Tribolium castaneum: one gene and its partners. The protein of the gene in region 1 interacts with the protein of each later gene in a biochemical or structural test. Links are inferred from orthologs where the notes say so. Each region holds a gene or a part of one and is shown on either strand. Other genes may lie near its edges. The genes, in order: Wee1, peptidyl-prolyl cis-trans isomerase NIMA-interacting 1, polo and Cdk1.

Region 1 (4,837 bases):
GTACCCATAGATTCAATATAGATGTGAATCAGTTTGTAGTAGATGTATTTAAAACTAGTAAATTGTTAATAAATATCAAATAATAAGTTAAATTAGATTATAATTGCTCACAATGTAACAAAATTCCTCTATTTTGATTAGAAGAATTAAATTAAAACTTCTCAGAGTTTATAAAGTCTTTCGTTTCTCAGTGAGTTACAAAAAAAATGTGGATGATCTTCGTAATTTAATTCGAATCTAAATCTGATTCAAAATCCTTTTTATTGGTTTCTATAGAAACCAATCAGTTTTCTAAATCAGAGGGCTTTATTTCAAAAATCAAAGAAAACGAAACTTACGTTTTTTTAACTTAATTTTTTTAACCTTTTTTACAAAAAAATCATGAACCAATCTTTTAACGGTTACTAATTTTTACGTAATTTATGTTTCTGCAAAGTTGTAAAAATTCAAAATATCGTAAGTTTTTTTAGGTGGGCAAATTTTGTTCTAATTAATAATTGTTCTGAAATTGATCCCAAATCTATTTGCCTAATTTGCTTTTTAAATTTTAGTTTTTAGCAAGTAAACATTTCAGTATCAGTGAGTACTTTGTGAAAGCAAAAACTGGTTTAAACAGAAGCATCTCGAAATAAAAAAAAAATAAAAACAACGGCATTGCCTATTTTTCTTAACGACAGTACACTGCATACAGTCGGCTGTCCCAAGCAAAAACACAGCAACCAACAATTTTTTAACACTTTTTGCTTTATTTTCACGCTTAAATTCATTTTTTTTTTTAAACAGTAACTGCAATAGAACATTCCTTTTCCAAAGTAAATTCCACAAAATATCTTAGAGACGATCGATTGTACTCCATATGTTTAAGTAAAAATAACTCATATACACGGTGAGTTAATAGTGGGTTATTTCTGACATGTGCTAAAATGCAACCAAAAATACTATGGTAGCGCTCAGCTCCATTTGCGTGTGCGTCATCTGACATTTCTGTCACTACGTTTACATAGCAGGGCCATAGCGGTGACAAACTATCAAATATTTTTTGAGGTTACGAAGTGTTTAAATTAAAAAAATACAAAAAATACAGATTCACAAAACAAGAACTAATAAACGCAGAATCAAAAACCTAACGAAACGCAAATCCCAAAACACAATAAACGAACGAAAAATACTTGCGATTAACACCGATAACACTTTCGACAACCATGCGACGACGTCTATGATTTACTGTCAATGTCAGGTTGACAAATTCGTGACACTTAACGGTGTTGTCGAAGTGCACATGTATATTAATGTTCAAGGATACCACCCTTAGATACCCCTTAGTTGTTTAAATTTGCATTGTTTTTGACAATTTTTTTACAGCTTTGTGTTGGTAATGAAAAAATGAAATTGATGACGCACACGCAAATCGAGCTGACCGCCACTATAATTGCACTTACCACTTGGAACTTTGAGTTTTAAAAACATTAATTGAATCATCATTGGATTTTTATCTTTTAAATAATAATATTCCATAATGAAATTTTAACAAAACTGTCAAGACAATCTTGACAATATCCAGAACAATGTAATCTTGGATTATTTTTTTTAACGATTACCGATCTCGTTAGCTGGAATCGGTATTATCGGTTGCATATTTATGAAAATTCAGACACAACCCACTATTGACTCACCCTGTAGATGTAAAAAAGCTATATTTTATAATTTAATTATCAGGAAATACAATTTACATAATAATATCACTTTTAATTGAACTTTTAGTTAGTTAGATTGGCCACATCTCTCTATCTTGGGTTATTACATAAATTTATCTCGTAAATGTTAATATTTGTAATATTATTATTAATTACTTACTGTTGTACTAAAAACTGCTTGAAATTGTAACAAGTGTTCATTAAAAAAACACTCTAGAGTGAATTGAAATTAAAAATCAATTATTTTGTATGTCTATGATATTTCGTTCTCTCATAACCTTACTTTATGACAATTAAAAAGACAACGGATTTTCATAAAAATATTTATTATTTATCAAAACTGTTGGGAATGTATTTCTTGTTGTTCAATACACATAACAGATCGACTATTTATCAATTTTGGTTACAAATTCTAATGAGCTGGTTTCGTAGGCAACCAACAATACAATGATAAAAATTGCTCCAAGACATCCGTAAAAATATCAGGCAATGCTGGGAGTTTTTTTTAATAATGAACATCTGATATTTGCTTTAAGTAGTAGCATTGAGTATTGAAGTAGTAGTATTAAGTAGTATTTGTAAAAAGTGAGCCAATGAAAACACAGTATATGGCAATATAAATTTTTTACGTTATTTTAGATAGTATAGTACTCACGTCATAAATTGCCCTTAAAAAACGATATTTTTAAGTTAAACAATTTGGGTAAAGAGACATTCTAAAAGACTGGTTAAATAAACTACTTTTTGAAAAGTTGTAAACATAAAAAATATGTATAAATGCGGCTAAACATTGAATTAACAACCACATAACTTTCTCTAAAAGTTATTTTTTTTTAATTTGCCACTATTATAGCAGGACGGCAGATGATTTATCAAACTTTACATTATTGCCCTTAAAATAGGAGCAAGTTTTTGCCATAATTTCTTTGGTGAAATAAATTCATTGAAGTTCCTGTTACGACTTGCCATGGTGCTAAAAAACAGGAGGCGCCCCTCAATGAAATAATGAAATCGTTACCGTTTGGTGTGAAGGGGTTGACGTTGGCCACCGGCTTCTGCTTGGTGTTGGTGACACTGCGCGGCTTCTCCGTGAAGAGCCGACACCTGGGGGCCGGCGTCGTGGCCGACTTCTGTATGATAGTCTTGGGGGTGAGAGGGCTGTCGAACAGTCGCAGCGCTCGCACCCGCTTGTACGGGGGGCTGTATGTCGGGTTGGACGAAGCTGAACGCCTCGGTGAGGGGCTGCGTACATAGTCACTCGAAAGTTCGAAAGACAGCTCACAACCTGACGACGAGTCCAGATCGTTGGGGGGCTCCGAGTCAAACGTGATCTCGGGAGTCTTCCGGCGCACTTCAGACATTTCTCACGCACAAAAAACGCCCAAAATTCGCAAAAAAACAAACACACGCTCTATTTTCGACACGGAAACGGTTACGAAAATCGACGCATCTGGGGTTTGAGTCGACCAATCACAACGCGCGAAGCTACGCGCTGATTGGCCGCGGGCGGACGCCATTTTAGTGTCAATTTGACGACGGCGCGAGGTTTGAAAAGTGACACGTCGGTGGTGTTTGAATCACCACAACTGGGGCTCATTTACTTATCCACTGTGTCAAAGACGCTCAGAGGGGTGACTGATTTGTTATTGCAAGGGTGGGCGACAAATTTGGTGATAGGTAAGCCACAAGTGGGCAAGTGACAGGACTGGTGACCTAATTACAGAAAACAGCCCCCTTGTCATGGCAGACGTGTCCGTGGATGTGTCGGGGGTGATGTCGCCCCCTGAAAATTCACCACGGACCCCGTTTTCAAGGTATGAGATTTTTAAGCGACCTAACCTCAATTCTAGAATTTTCTAGTTTTCTGCAAGTTCCGACCCAAATACCGGACCCGAAAGAATGGTTTAGTAAACAAAGACAAAACGTGCGTCCCTGGCTATTATTCATACAAACTTCCAACTTCAAGACGCCCCCTTCAGTCCCAAGACTCAGCAAACGAATTATGAGAAACATCGAGTACTTCCAGAGCAATTATTTATTTGTTTTCCTCGGTTTGGTTGTTTATTGCTTGTAAGGAGCCCCTCAGTGTGAGCACCAACCCCAAAATTCTACTTTCAGAATAACCTCGCCTTTGATTCTATTCGCCCTTGCTGGGACTTTTTACGCAGGCTACAAGCTTAACAAAAGGCACCAAGAGAAGAAAATCGTGCTTTTTAAAAAAGAATTGACTTTGGCACAAGTTTATGGAGTGGTAGCACTATGTTCCATGCCAGTTTATTACATGGTGGGGGCCCACGGGGCCATGTTTTGGGTCCTAGGAGCCTCATTTTTCCTTATTACTTTACATGCCTCGTTCTACAACATCGACGCTGTGATCGCGCAAGGAGAAGACGGTTTTCCGCTCTTAGAACAAGTCTAATTTTGTACAATTTTATTAAATGTTTTACCCGCCCTGTGTCAATTCAGTCACGTGACCCGACTCACACTGCTCATTGGCGGAGGCCATGGCAACGCCACCACGTGATGAGTGTGTCAAAAAAGCCGTGTAAAATTTATAGAAAATACGTTTATTTTTCGTAAAAGCCAAATTATATTATGTACTGATATTCTTGAAGAAGAAGAAATTTATCTCTTAAGATTTGAACTACTTTTATACCCGATAAAACGGATAATATACAATAATTATATATAACAAACTCGTAACTAACTAATTAATTAATGCGAATTGAAACAACATCCGAATTAATTAGAGCCAGTGTGTGAATCGATGTTTTTTTTAATATATAACTATAGCTTGTTATTTTATGAAATATTTTCCCCGCCTTGTGTCAAATTCAGTCACGTGACCCGACTTATGCCGCCCTATTGGCGGAGGCCATGGCAACGCGACCACGTGACGAGTGTCAAGGACGCGATTGGCGGTGTGCATGGCAACGCGACCACGTGGATGGGTGTGTCAAATCCAAAGCCGTGTCAAATTTATAGAAAATATGTTTATTTTTCGTAAAAGGCAATTAATATCATGTACTGATATTTTCCAACTAGAGAAATTAACTGTTTGTACAATAACTATTTTGATAAAGGGGTGGAACAACCTAAATTTATGTACAATAAACTGAAAAATTAATTAATTACCTGACAAC
Region 2 (3,423 bases), on another chromosome or scaffold:
AATTTAATTCGAAACTAAATCTGATTCAAAATCAATAAGTTTTCTGAATCTTTTTTTCCAAAATAAACGAAAACGATACTTACGTTTTTTTAACAAAATTTTTTCACTTTTTTTACAAAAAAACATGGACCAATCTTTTAACGGTTACTTATTTTTAGAATGTAATTTATGTTTATGCAAAGTTGCAAGTATTCAAAATATCGTAGAGATTTTTTAGGTGGGCACTAATCACTGTTTCATTAATGTTCATAAAATGTTTTTCAGAAACAATTTTCATGTGTTCTAACAAGAAACGGAATAAATATGATTCTAATCCACCTAACTTAATCACCGACTAATTAAAAGTGTTGCAATTTTTTGAAGGGATGAACAAGCTAGAGATCCAATCTTTCAAAATTTGTAATCGAGTTCGTATTGGAATATGTATTGTTGATTGCATTTTACAGGCGCAGGCCTTGTAAAATTACGTGGAAGACCCTGTATTGATTATTATTGAAGCATCGTTTTCTTTGTAGTTACACCATAACGTTTTACAGCAGTTAATGCTGTTTATGATAAACAATCCTCAAAATAAGATGTTTCGACAACGGTGACCAAAAGATATTTACGATACCGATCGGTTCGTCTGAAAGACTACATCCTGGTTTGAAGTAATCTCAATAAAATTTAATGGTGTACAAGCAAAACGTTGCAACAATACTTTTTGTGTAAAAAAATCTGTGTGTATTAGTAGTTTCGAACTATTGTAACTACGCGAAAGGCACTTTGAAAATAAAAGATAGTTATTACCTATTATTGATTTAAATCTTCTCATCCTCACTTGTATTATGCTTGCATCTTAGCAAATGTTTTACTTTTGATTCTGGAATAAAATCCGGGCTAACAGGAGTGCTTAGGGCTCTTTATTGTGCATAAACAAAATAACAAAAGTATCAGGAATAAGTTACCTCATTAATAAGTAAAAAGTACAATATAAAAGAAATTTACACTAAATTTACAGCTCCAATCTCATCGCAATATATATAAATATGAATTTGTTTGGCATAGATGCATCATAAATTACGTTAACAAGACCTGAAAGAACATGAATGAACTTATAATAAATGTAAAAATGGTCTAGAAAGAGTACAAATCTAAACAGTACGCAGAATAATATGCACCCCCGAATCGGTAAAGACAGGTTCTGACAACTCCCCAACCTTGAGCGCAAACGACGCCTCCTCAAAGGGCTTCTGCATGGCCCCCCGTTTGAACGAGCCAAGGTCGCCCCCTCGTTTAGCAGACGAGCAATCCGAGTACTTTGAGGCTAAGTCAGCAAACGAGGCCTTGCCCTGGACGATTTGTTCGCGATACGCTGAAAAAACGTTCAAAAGTGGTGACATTTCTTGGCCAAAAACACTCACATTTGACTAATTCCAAGGCTTCGTCTTTAGTCCTTGTGATGTTCTCCTCTCGCCAAGAGGACGGTCTTCGCGAGTCTTTGTGTTTGACGAGTAAATGTGAGCACTGGACTTGTTCGGGGCCGCTCGAAGACACAGGTTCTGCCGGTTTGTCGGGAACGTCCCATTGGGACTCTTTGGTGTAAACGTTCAGGTAGTAGTGTTGGCCTAAAATACACGTTTTGAGTCAAGGGAGAATGATTAAAACTTAACCGAATTACCGGTTGACCGACTTAACCGCTTTTCCCACCCAGTAGGCAACTGTTCGTCCGCCATTTTCCTAGAATGCGTGTTTATTTATCGGCTAACTTCACTCGAGGCTTTATTTCTGTGAAGACAGCTACACGAGTTAGCTCCTTCAGTTTCCGGAAATACCCGGACACAAACCACTTTCACACCAACAAAATAAGCGATTGTATGGTTGGTTGCCAACACTAAAGACGTTCAATATTGAGAAAAACTGAAAAACACAAACTTCTCTTAAGGCTTCAGGGTACCGAAGCGATTGTTGAGAATTGGTGTACTACAAGTTGCATACTTTTTTAGACCTGTTTTCAGTGACAGCTGTCAATCATCGGATAGGCATCCGACCTTCGCCTCGGGGTGTCTTGTCCCTTCTCATAAAATGCAAATAATGTAAACAAACTGAATTCCACTATCGCCCACGATAGTTTCTCTTATTTCAGAGATTCAAGCAACATACAGTAAAAAAGACGTTTTTTATTTTGTTAAAAAAATTTGATACTAAAGAATAATAAAATACTAGCATAGTTTTGTAAAAAATAATACACCATTACACCATTTATTTATTGGGTTTTATGTTTTAATTAACCGAATTCTGTTCGCTATATTATGTGTCATGTGCATTTCTAATTGGATCACTTGCATTGAAAAAATATAAAATAAAAAAATTAATTGGTGAAACATTATTGTTCTTTCAGAAAACAGTTTAACTTTAAAAAAGTTACTAGGAATATCTCATTAAAATGATGAAAACTTCATTAAACCCGCTTTTTCGTCTGATAATTTTATCCAGGTAATAAATTCTGAAAAATACATTGTTGTAAAAATTTATTCTAACTATACCCAGTAATAATTATAGTACAAATAACGTATCGAGAGATTGTAAGATCCAGTCTTAGGGATATAATTTGTTTACGTTACGCCTTGTAAAATAAATGATACTTTTATAATTATGTATTATTTTAGAATTTAGGAATTATTTCTCGTTTTTTTATTAAATTTATACAATTTTTCTATAACTAGCTTGCGAAGATATAGCTGCGTTACTCTTACATTATATAAATTTTGTGTATTTCTTTAAAATATAACGCATCTTCTGGTGTTGCAACAATAGTCGGTGCAAGGACTAAAAAAATTTTATACGTGGGAGTTAAAAATAAAAATTGTAAAAAATGTATGTATTATAAGAAAAAAAACCAAACGACGCCCCCTCATAAATGTTTTAAAAATTGGAAAAACACTTCAACTTCAATGGAAGCAGCAATTATTTTGGATGGATTTAAAAAATCAGTAGACATGCATAACGTAAGATTTAAAAACCTCATAGGAGATGGTGATAGTAGCGTCTACAAAAAAATTCGTAATGCAAGACCATACGGGCCTAATTATTTTATTAAAAAAATTGAATGCCGAAATCATATACTACGAAATTTTTGTACTAAAATTAGAGAAATCGCTAAAACTCCTCGTTCTGACATAAATATAAAAACTTTTTTGCGCAACAATTATTTGAAATTTAGAACCGCAATTGTTTCAGCGATAAAATACAGAAAAAACGAAAACTGTACTTTCGATCAAAAAGCAGAAAACCTGAAAAATGATATTTTAAATGGACCTGCACATATTTTTGGTAATCATTCAAAGTGCGCTACGTATTTTTGTAAAACAGTTGGTCAAATAACAAATGCAGTTGCATATTCTGACTTTAAAAATAGTTACTTGTTTGAGTTGTTCATGCAGG
Region 3 (4,818 bases), on another chromosome or scaffold:
AAATAAATTGTTAAAATAAAGTACGACAATTTACATCTTCACTTAACCAACACTCTTTAAAGAACTAAATGAGAATAACAAAATCCGAGCTGATTATAATTGGATATAATTTAATTGGTTGTAGGTAAAATAAACCTTTTGTGCCCTTATCGTTGGTGACTTTTTTATTTAACATTTTGTTGTGAATTTGTAACACGTTCTGTCAATTAATGCTTCGACTAACGTAGACATTTTTATGAATTCGTAGTATTATTTAGACCGTATCGCTTTACAATTGCAGACTATACTTTACAACAATCGCCTATTGCCTGGGATAAATTTAGAAACAATTTTTTTCATTAAAATTTGAATCGAAGAGCTCTTGAAGCTTGCGGGCCCTTTTAGGCTCCGGGCCCGGGTTCCACGGAACCCCTGTGGATACGCCACTGGTGTCAACCACTCGCAAACACAACATGCTTTTCGACTAAATGCTGTGGTTTATCGGCCTATTATAACAAAATTTTGCTAAAAAACGCGATAAATCGAAAAAAACTCAATGTCTATTTATTTTGTGATTTTTACGAGTCTTTTAACAAGTTCTAGCAAAGTAAATCAGTCTGAACTTAGAAAAATATAAGACAACTTCAATTTTGATCTAATTCGGAGATGTTTCATCCATTTCTCGGTAAATTTTTCGAAAAAAAAAAAAAACTCAAGAGTTGAAGAATACTAAAGTAACACCCATTTTAGTAAAATTAGGTGACTTTTCGGTCTGTTTTTTTAAACGTGCTAAAAAAAGACAAAACGAAATAATTTTAGATTTAAATTTTTAATTTTCGGTCACTTCTAGCAAAAAAAATAGAGATTTTAGCCCTAAAACATGTCTAAATACTCAAGAAAGGCAGAAATAACGTTATTTTTGATCAGAATTTATTGTTGTAAAAAATTTTTGAGTATTAATTAATAATTGAATCTCTGGTTAAAATATTCTAATTTTTACCTACCTTTAGCAAAATTTTTCTAAAAAAAATTTAGTTAATATCTCAAAACATGTTTAAATATTCGAAAAACTCAGAATTCACACAATTTTCAGTGTGACTTGGTGAAATTTCGGTTTGTTCATTACAAAATACCATTTGGAAAAGAAAAAAGAATATTTTACTCAGCTAAATTTAGAAAATTCATAAGAAACTCCAAACACTTGCTTAGAAAATATAAAAATAACACACTTTGCGACCAAACTTTTATCTTTTAAGCTTACTATTGATGAAATTTCGCCCAAAAACGTGATAAATCGAAAAAAACTGACATCAATTCCAAATAAATCAGCCTCGAACTAAAAAATATAAAATAAAAATTTCGATATATTCGGTGAATTTTCATCCACTTTTAGGTATATTTTTTGAAAAAAACTTAATTTTTAACTCAATGAAAGTCGAAGAACACTAAAATAACACCCATTTTAGTATATGTTTTGGGTGACTTTTCGACTTGTTTTTAAGAGATTTCGCGAAAAATTTGCGTTGCTGGTGAAAAAAAAAAAAACGAAATAATTTTGGATTCAAACTGGTAATTTTTCGGTCTCAAAAAACAGGTTTTAGCTCTAAAACATGCTTAAATGCTCAAAAACAGGCAGAAATAACATTACTTTTGATTAAGATTTATTGTTGTAAAAAGTTCTTGTGCAATAAATGAATCTCTGGTTGAAATAATCACATTTTCGCGTAAATTTTTCTAAAAAAAAAACTTAGTTTTTATCTCGTGTACACAATTTTCAGGGATAATTCCTTTATTGGCTGTAAATGGAAAAGGAAAAAAAATGTTTCAGTAAATTTAGTGATTTTTACAAGAAACTAAGAATGTAAGTTCAAACACGTGTTTACTGGCTTGGAAAAAAACGAGCAAAATCGAATAAAATAAGCTAAATTAAATAAATTTCGCTTTAATTTCATGATTTTTCAGCTAGGAAGCTCAAAAGATAAGAGTAACACAATTTTATCAATAACTGTGTTTGCTTTCTGAAATATTTTCCAAAAAACTTTGGCAAGCACTTTGTTTACTTGTAAATTTATCAAAGGTTTTAAGGAATACCAACTAGGGCCTAAGGTACCAAAGTCATCTACGAGCCCCCATCATAGCCCCCATTCATAATTTACCCTTCTTATTTATGTACAATAAAAATGGTATTTTAATATAATTTTTTTGCTACAATCTTTTCCATTACGACTTGAGTCAAAAGAGGTTTTGAAATTAATAAACCTGGAAACTGTAGTTAGAACTACCTCCCTAACTTAGAAACCCAAGTATAAGCGCCACAAGTGATACCAACATGAATAATTAATTATACAAACTACAGTGTCTTAAAGAGGTGGACTGTTGTTTAATTTACCAATTAATTTAGCTCTTTGTTTGTGCAACCATTGGCCATGACAGACATCAGTTTAAATATTAGTTTTGGTGATAAAACTATCAATATTATAGTTTCCCATAATACAGAGTGAGCAGCGATAACAACCAGGAAACAGACGCAGTTTAAAGGGCCAAAAACTCACCCGCTTTCTGCACAGCTCCAAAACTATATAAATATTGTCCGTATCCTCGAAAAAACTATAAAAACCGACAATATTTTTGTGTTTCAACGACTTGTGTATCTGTATCTCCTGAGTCATTTTCTCCTTCTGGTTTTCCTTGACTATCAGCTTTTTCGAGACGACTTTCCCGGCGAACGTTTGGCTGTTGGCCACATTCGTAATTTCGTAGCATTTTGCAAATCCGCCCTAAGAAAAAACGGCCACTATCACATGAACCCATCGACAAAAACAACACTAACCTTGCCGAAGAACTGCCCCTTTTTGTACCTAATTTTCGTGTTCTCGTCGTATATATAGTCGGGAACTACGACATAATCGTCCACTTTCGACATTTTCACTAATTACTCCTAGTTTTATTCACAGTTATTGCGTTTGGTTGGGTTTTTACGGCAAGCATCCACCACGGCTTGAAAAACTTTTGGCAGTTGAGAAGATTTCAAACGCCGGCAGCTGATTGGCTGATTGGACAGGAAAATGGTGGGGAAAAAAGAATTGTCAACGGAAGTGACTACTTGCAGAACGCGATCTCTAACCACCAAACAAAAATAGACCACAATAAAATACACAAAGTGGTTTATATTGACTCAACAACTTTGGTTTGGTCGATCAAAAATTGGGCCAAACGCTGATCTTGACCGTATTTTAAATTTAGTCTATCAAAACATTGATTTATGTGTTATGCAACTCACAAAATGCTTCTGCTGAGGGCGTTGCCTAGCTAACAACCTAACAATTAATATTAAAAAAAAACTAAACAGAAATTTATACAGGACTGTAGGCCGCGCATTCAGGCAGGGCGAAGGCCTACTCCTAAAATTCTTGTTCTTCCTAGACAAATTTTATACGTTTTATAAAAATTTATAAAATATAAAATTTTAACTTTGCGTTGTCTACACTTTTTCAAAAACACCATAAACATGTACGTATTTTTATTTTTGGGGAAGTCAAAACTGCAAAGCGTCATCTGTTATGCAACATCGAATGTGTATGATTTATGAGAACACTGTTTTTTCACAAAAAAATAAATCTGGCAATTATTATTACTGCACTTGGTTTTCGAGGAAAAAAAAAGGCACACGGGAAATTTATTTTGACTTATTTTTATTAGAGTTTAATAATAAACGAGAAAATGTTTGACGAATACAAAGTGTTCTGTCTAAACTAAGTTTCGGAGTATTGAAAAAAGTACTGAAAGTTTTGATAATAACATTTATCTGAAAATTAGCCTAGAGCCATAGCTCATTGATTGAAAATATTTTCAAAATGGCGGCACTTCCGATTGTATCGAAAATCGCTATGAACTTTTTTATTAGCTTTTTCCTATTCCTAAATTTAGCTATTTTCTAAATAATCAGAATTTTTTGGAAATTTTTGGATTTGCACCTTTCACTTCAATAATCGTAAATTCTGCTATTTTTAGAATTTTAGAAACAGTATTTGGCCAATCAAAAACAAAGCCTAAATCTTTCCTTCAGTGTGTTCAAAAAAGTTTACAAAATCCAAAATCTTAACGTTATTTTTGGACAGCTTCTACATGCTATAAGTTTTTATTTCACTAAATAGAAGAAAATTTAATTCTGCAACGATCTGTGTTGGCATTTCTTATGCTTATTTGTGATAATTTTCAAGTTATGTTAATTTTTTTGACATTGCTAGCCACAGATATTTTTGCGCAGTTTGACAAAGAAACATTTCATTGAATAAACGATAAATTCTGTTCAAAATTTTGTTTTCCTTTCCGTTAAAACAAAATGAATTCATTGAATTTGGATTTGAAAAACTTTGATTCCATAATTTCATTTACCTACATCCCTACATACAATATCAACAAAAAATCCGCATGAAAACTGTTAAACAAAAGTATAGGAAAAAATGATGGCATTTCATTTGAAAATTTTTAGTTATGGGTGTTTGAAGTTCTGCAAACTTAAAAATCTTCTTAAATACTGGAGGTATTCTTTTGGGAAAAAAACTTCAAAAAAATTTGTCTTTCAATTAACCATAAAAGGATTTACATTTTTTTTAAACGACAAAGTTATGGATTTTTGAAAAGTAAAAAAAACGGCTAAATTTTGGTCTATATAGTTGTACTCAAATTTTCAAATGCTTTAATGAGAGTCTATACAGAACAGCCTGTACACTTACATATTAAAATGGTACATTTTGTGTTTTAAAATGTCATGTGCTTTAAAATTATCACGTCATTTCAAATTCTTTTAAATAATGACAGACATTTTTGTTTTCTATT
Region 4 (3,901 bases), about 9.1 Mb from region 1:
TTAAGACGAGCCAAAAGACGCAACATGGAAAGATTGGCTTTGGCTTGTGGTGGAATCGCTTTAAATCATTTCGATGATATGCAAGAATCGCAATTGGGTTATGCTGGAGTTGTCTATGAACATGTTTTGGGCGAAAATAAATATACTTTCGTTGAGGAATGCAAAATACCACAGTCGGTCACCATTCTTATTAAAGGGCCCAATAAACACACTCTCACTCAAATCAAGGATGCTGTGAGGGATGGATTAAGGGCCATCAATAATGCCATAGAGGACAAAGCCTTGATTCCAGGTAATAAAAAGACAAAACTGAATTAAAAAAAAATTAAATTATCCTTTTTATGAGTTTCTACATGGGAATTTTTGCTGAATTTCATCATAAATCTCCCAAAAAATCACCAAATTTGTGTATTTTTTAAATTTTGTAGTCAAGAATTGTAAAAAATCTAAACTATCGTTAAATTTAGGCCGTTTTTCAAGCATATTTGCACAAAACTACAAAATTAAGCCCAGCATTATATTATTTTTGAACTTTTTTTAAGGTTCCAGCGCATTATTTTTCAGTCAGAAACTCACTCATTTCCCGAAATTAACAAAATATCTAGTTGCTTAATGGATGACGTCACAGTCATTTTGTGACGCGTCTTAAAAATGTGCGTTACTAGGCTTTGAAATTGTAAATAGGGGTCAATGACCTGACCTGGCCACACAATTGTTAATTTATTAGACTCACAATGCGTTTTCCGTTTAAAATAGAGCTCAAAAATTGAATTTACGAGTTGCTTCAACTACTCCCATCACCAAAAACCCAACTTCGGTACTTACTTGTCAATGTTGAAAATCGCCGTTTAGATCAACACATCGGAACACTGAAAGTCTTTGAACACTTTTGCACAAACATTTGCACGAAATAACCGATTTAACAGCGATTTTTCCCGAATTTACTAAGCGGTAAGCGGCCATCACGAAATTTGATGCACCGCCAATTGTTTCGCTACCAACCGTACCAATAAAATCACTAAATGTCATAGCGCTTAATTCAAATTGATTTTGCACACAAAACAGTTTTTTGTGATATTTTTCAGGCGCAGGGGCTTTTGAGGTGACCGCCCACAAAGAATTGATGGCTTACAAGGACACCGTTAAAGGAAAATCGCGTCTTGGAATTGGTGCTTACGCGGAAGCCCTTCTTGTAATTCCCAAAGTTTTGGCAACGAATTCTGGTTTCGATGCTCAGGTTTGTGTGATTTTCTCATTGATTGTTTTATAGTTATTTGTTGTTCTTAGGATACTATTGTAAAACTTCAAGAAGAATCTCGTAACAATAAGGAACCAATTGGGCTTGATTTAGCTTCAGGACAACCGATTAATCCGAAAGATGCCGGAATTTTCGATAATTACATCGTGAAGAAACAAATAATTAATTCGTGTTCGGTGATTGCAAGCAATTTATTGTTGGTTGATGAAATAATGAGAGCCGGAATGAGCAGTTTGAAAGGTTAAATGGATTTTTTTTGTCAGTAATTTTATTCACGTATTAATGCTTGATTTTGTAATTATTATACAACAATAATAAAGGATTTTAACACCCATTTTTTGGCCAAAGCTATTATTTGGCGATCGTATAGTAATTTTGTGTGTCTGAAGTTGGTAATGTGTGTCTATTTACGCCAAAAAAAAGACAGGTTATTGTGATTGACGTGAGTGCGATAGAGACGGGGATAATTGTACCCGATTGGTTGGTTCAAAAATCTCCAACGAACTTTCTCCATATTTCTTCAAACGAGCCGTTAAAAGTGTGTAAAAATTAACAAAACTCGTGTGCTTTGAATAAAATATCGTGTTTGTGGTCGTGTAGGCATTGCAATTTGACGTTATAAACGTCATTTTAAGTGGAAAGTTTGGTTATATTGGGGCAATGTCGAAACAGGGGGCCAACATGGATGACTTCCTCAAGATCGAAAAAATTGGTGAAGGCACTTACGGTGTGGTGTACAAGGGCAAAAACAAGAAGACGGGTCAGCTAGTCGCAATGAAAAAAATCCGACTGCAACCCGAAGACGAAGGTGTGCCTTCCACAGCCATTCGCGAAATCTCCCTCCTGAAGGAGCTCACACACCCCAATATAGTCTCCCTGGAAGACGTGATGATGGAAGAGAATCGTCTTTACCTAATTTTTGAATTTTTGTCAATGGACTTAAAGAAGTACCTCGACACCATCCCACAGGGCTCCTACATGGACCCCCAACTCGTCAAAAGCTACCTCTACCAAATCAACGAAGCCATTCTCTTCTGCCACCAAAGACGAGTCCTTCATCGCGACCTTAAGCCCCAAAATCTGCTCATCAACTCCGAAGGGGCTATCAAAGTGGCCGATTTTGGACTAGGGCGCGCCTTTGGGGTCCCGGTTCGCGTTTACACGCACGAAGTTGTCACTTTGTGGTACCGCGCCCCCGAGGTGCTCCTCGGCTCTGCACGTTACTCGTGCCCTATTGATATTTGGTCTCTGGGCTGCATTTTCGCCGAAATGGCCAACAAAAAAGCCCTTTTCCAAGGCGACTCCGAAATCGACCAACTTTTCCGCATTTTTCGGTAATCAAATCATGTAACTATAGAAACGAAAACAACTTGCATTTTTTTTCGATTCAGGGTTTTGAAAACACCAAGCGACGAAATCTGGCCAGGGGTGTCCACATTACCTGAATATAAGGTTACGTTCCCTAATTGGAAATCATGTACTTTGGAAAGTCAGGTAAAAAATATGACTAGCGACGCTATAGATTTGTTGAAACAAATGCTGATTTATGACCCGGCCAAGAGGATTTCGGCCAAAAAAATCGCTTTACATCCGTATTTGCAAAAGGTTGATACGTCAATAAAGCCGATCCTTAAATAAGCGGTTAGGTTTAGGTTTATCGTGTTTAGTATGACTATTTTCTAAATATATTTGTTTAAAAAATCTTTTGTGTTTGAAAACCTCCTTAATACATCATGCACGAGCTGCACGTGTATATTGCTATGGTGATGCGTCAATGTAGCTATGGTAACAGTGAAAGGAAATGCGGGACAGTGGCGCAACATAAAGCAGATCATTTGGGAACATAGTTTTAATGAAACAATTGAAATAAATACATTTTGTGCAATTCAACAACGTCTAGAAAAATAAATTGTACCCTAAAGTTTAATTAAGCGTTGAAATGTTTTTTGTGTGAATTAATTTGTGCCATTTAGGCATTTATTTAAAAAATTGCATACGCTACTCACGTAACTTTCTTTATTTTCGGTGTAGTGTTTAACATGAGGACTTGTTTCGTAACAGAGAGTTGTTACATCGATACCCAGAGATTTTCGATAGTTGGCGAAATATTCAATATCCTTGAAAAAAAAAAAAAGATGATTGGCTACAATAGTTAAGATGGTTACCGTATAAGGAATAAGAATGTCTTTTTTCGAGTAGATAAAATGTTGGGGACAGTTGTTTTTATCATCTTTCAAGTTTTCTAACGGGTTCGATTGGAACGTTTTTTTCGGACTGATGTAATTGCTAACAACCTACAATAATAAATCAAGGAATATTTAAAGTTTTTGGTGCGAACGCACCTCGTATAACCAAATCATAGACAAAAACATAGTCATGAGGACTGAAGCGGGAATATTGTAAAGGGGCCTTCCACCCAAAATTGCCGAAATGGCCCGAAACAGACTCAGAACGCGACGTTTTCCGGGCGCTGAGTCGAAAATCACTCCTTTTATCTGCACAAACAGTACATTTTGTCCGATACTTTAAACAAACATTTTATGGCAAAGTTAACAGCATTTCAAGGCTTATTTTTGTATCTCATGAATAATCATTATACATGGAAAGTTTTACCTGAATCGGTTTGGGGCTCTTTTCAAGCGC

Evidence for each region.
Region 2: the proteins of Wee1 (region 1) and peptidyl-prolyl cis-trans isomerase NIMA-interacting 1 form a complex in vitro, tested with the Homo sapiens proteins (2 studies listed by BioGRID, with this or other methods). The link is inferred for Tribolium castaneum from reciprocal best matches to the Homo sapiens genes WEE1 and PIN1.
Region 3: the proteins of Wee1 (region 1) and polo form a complex in vitro, tested with the Homo sapiens proteins (2 studies listed by BioGRID, with this or other methods). The link is inferred for Tribolium castaneum from reciprocal best matches to the Homo sapiens genes WEE1 and PLK1.
Region 4: of the proteins of Wee1 (region 1) and Cdk1, one has a biochemical effect on the other in vitro, tested with the Homo sapiens proteins (5 studies listed by BioGRID, with this or other methods). The link is inferred for Tribolium castaneum from reciprocal best matches to the Homo sapiens genes WEE1 and CDK1.

The regions. Positions count from the first base shown.
Region 1 is NC_087401.1:8,447,973-8,452,809, forward strand, and holds the start of Wee1 (wee1-like protein kinase), read right to left. Parts: upstream 3,180-4,837; 5' UTR 3,056-3,179; coding exon 2,713-3,055; intron 1-2,712. Other genes in the region: prenylated Rab acceptor protein 1, read left to right, coding at 3,435-3,508, 3,555-3,764, 3,813-4,113. UniProt on the Homo sapiens protein: Acts as a negative regulator of entry into mitosis (G2 to M transition) by protecting the nucleus from cytoplasmically activated cyclin B1-complexed CDK1 before the onset of mitosis by mediating phosphorylation of CDK1 on 'Tyr-15'.
Region 2 is NC_087394.1:12,589,332-12,592,754, forward strand, and holds peptidyl-prolyl cis-trans isomerase NIMA-interacting 1, read right to left. Parts: upstream 1,819-3,423; 5' UTR 1,716-1,818; coding exon 1,661-1,715; intron 1,608-1,660; coding exon 1,404-1,607; intron 1,355-1,403; coding exon 1,134-1,354; 3' UTR 881-1,133; downstream 1-880. UniProt on the Homo sapiens protein: Peptidyl-prolyl cis/trans isomerase (PPIase) that binds to and isomerizes specific phosphorylated Ser/Thr-Pro (pSer/Thr-Pro) motifs.
Region 3 is NC_087398.1:11,007,771-11,012,588, forward strand, and holds the start of polo (serine/threonine-protein kinase polo), read right to left. Parts: upstream 3,038-4,818; 5' UTR 2,903-3,037; coding exon 2,810-2,902; intron 2,757-2,809; coding exon 2,532-2,756; intron 1-2,531. UniProt on the Homo sapiens protein: Serine/threonine-protein kinase that performs several important functions throughout M phase of the cell cycle, including the regulation of centrosome maturation and spindle assembly, the removal of cohesins from chromosome arms, the inactivation of anaphase-promoting complex/cyclosome (APC/C) inhibitors, and the regulation of mitotic exit and cytokinesis.
Region 4 is NC_087401.1:17,534,301-17,538,201, reverse strand, and holds Cdk1 (cyclin-dependent kinase 1), read left to right. Parts: upstream 1-1,710; 5' UTR 1,711-1,918; coding exon 1,919-2,592; intron 2,593-2,649; coding exon 2,650-2,896; 3' UTR 2,897-2,963; downstream 2,964-3,901. Other genes in the region: CCT6 (T-complex protein 1 subunit zeta), read left to right, coding at 1-292, 1,086-1,237, 1,288-1,503; transmembrane protein 53, read right to left, coding at 3,214-3,375, 3,424-3,552, 3,601-3,753, 3,872-3,901. UniProt on the Homo sapiens protein: Plays a key role in the control of the eukaryotic cell cycle by modulating the centrosome cycle as well as mitotic onset; promotes G2-M transition via association with multiple interphase cyclins.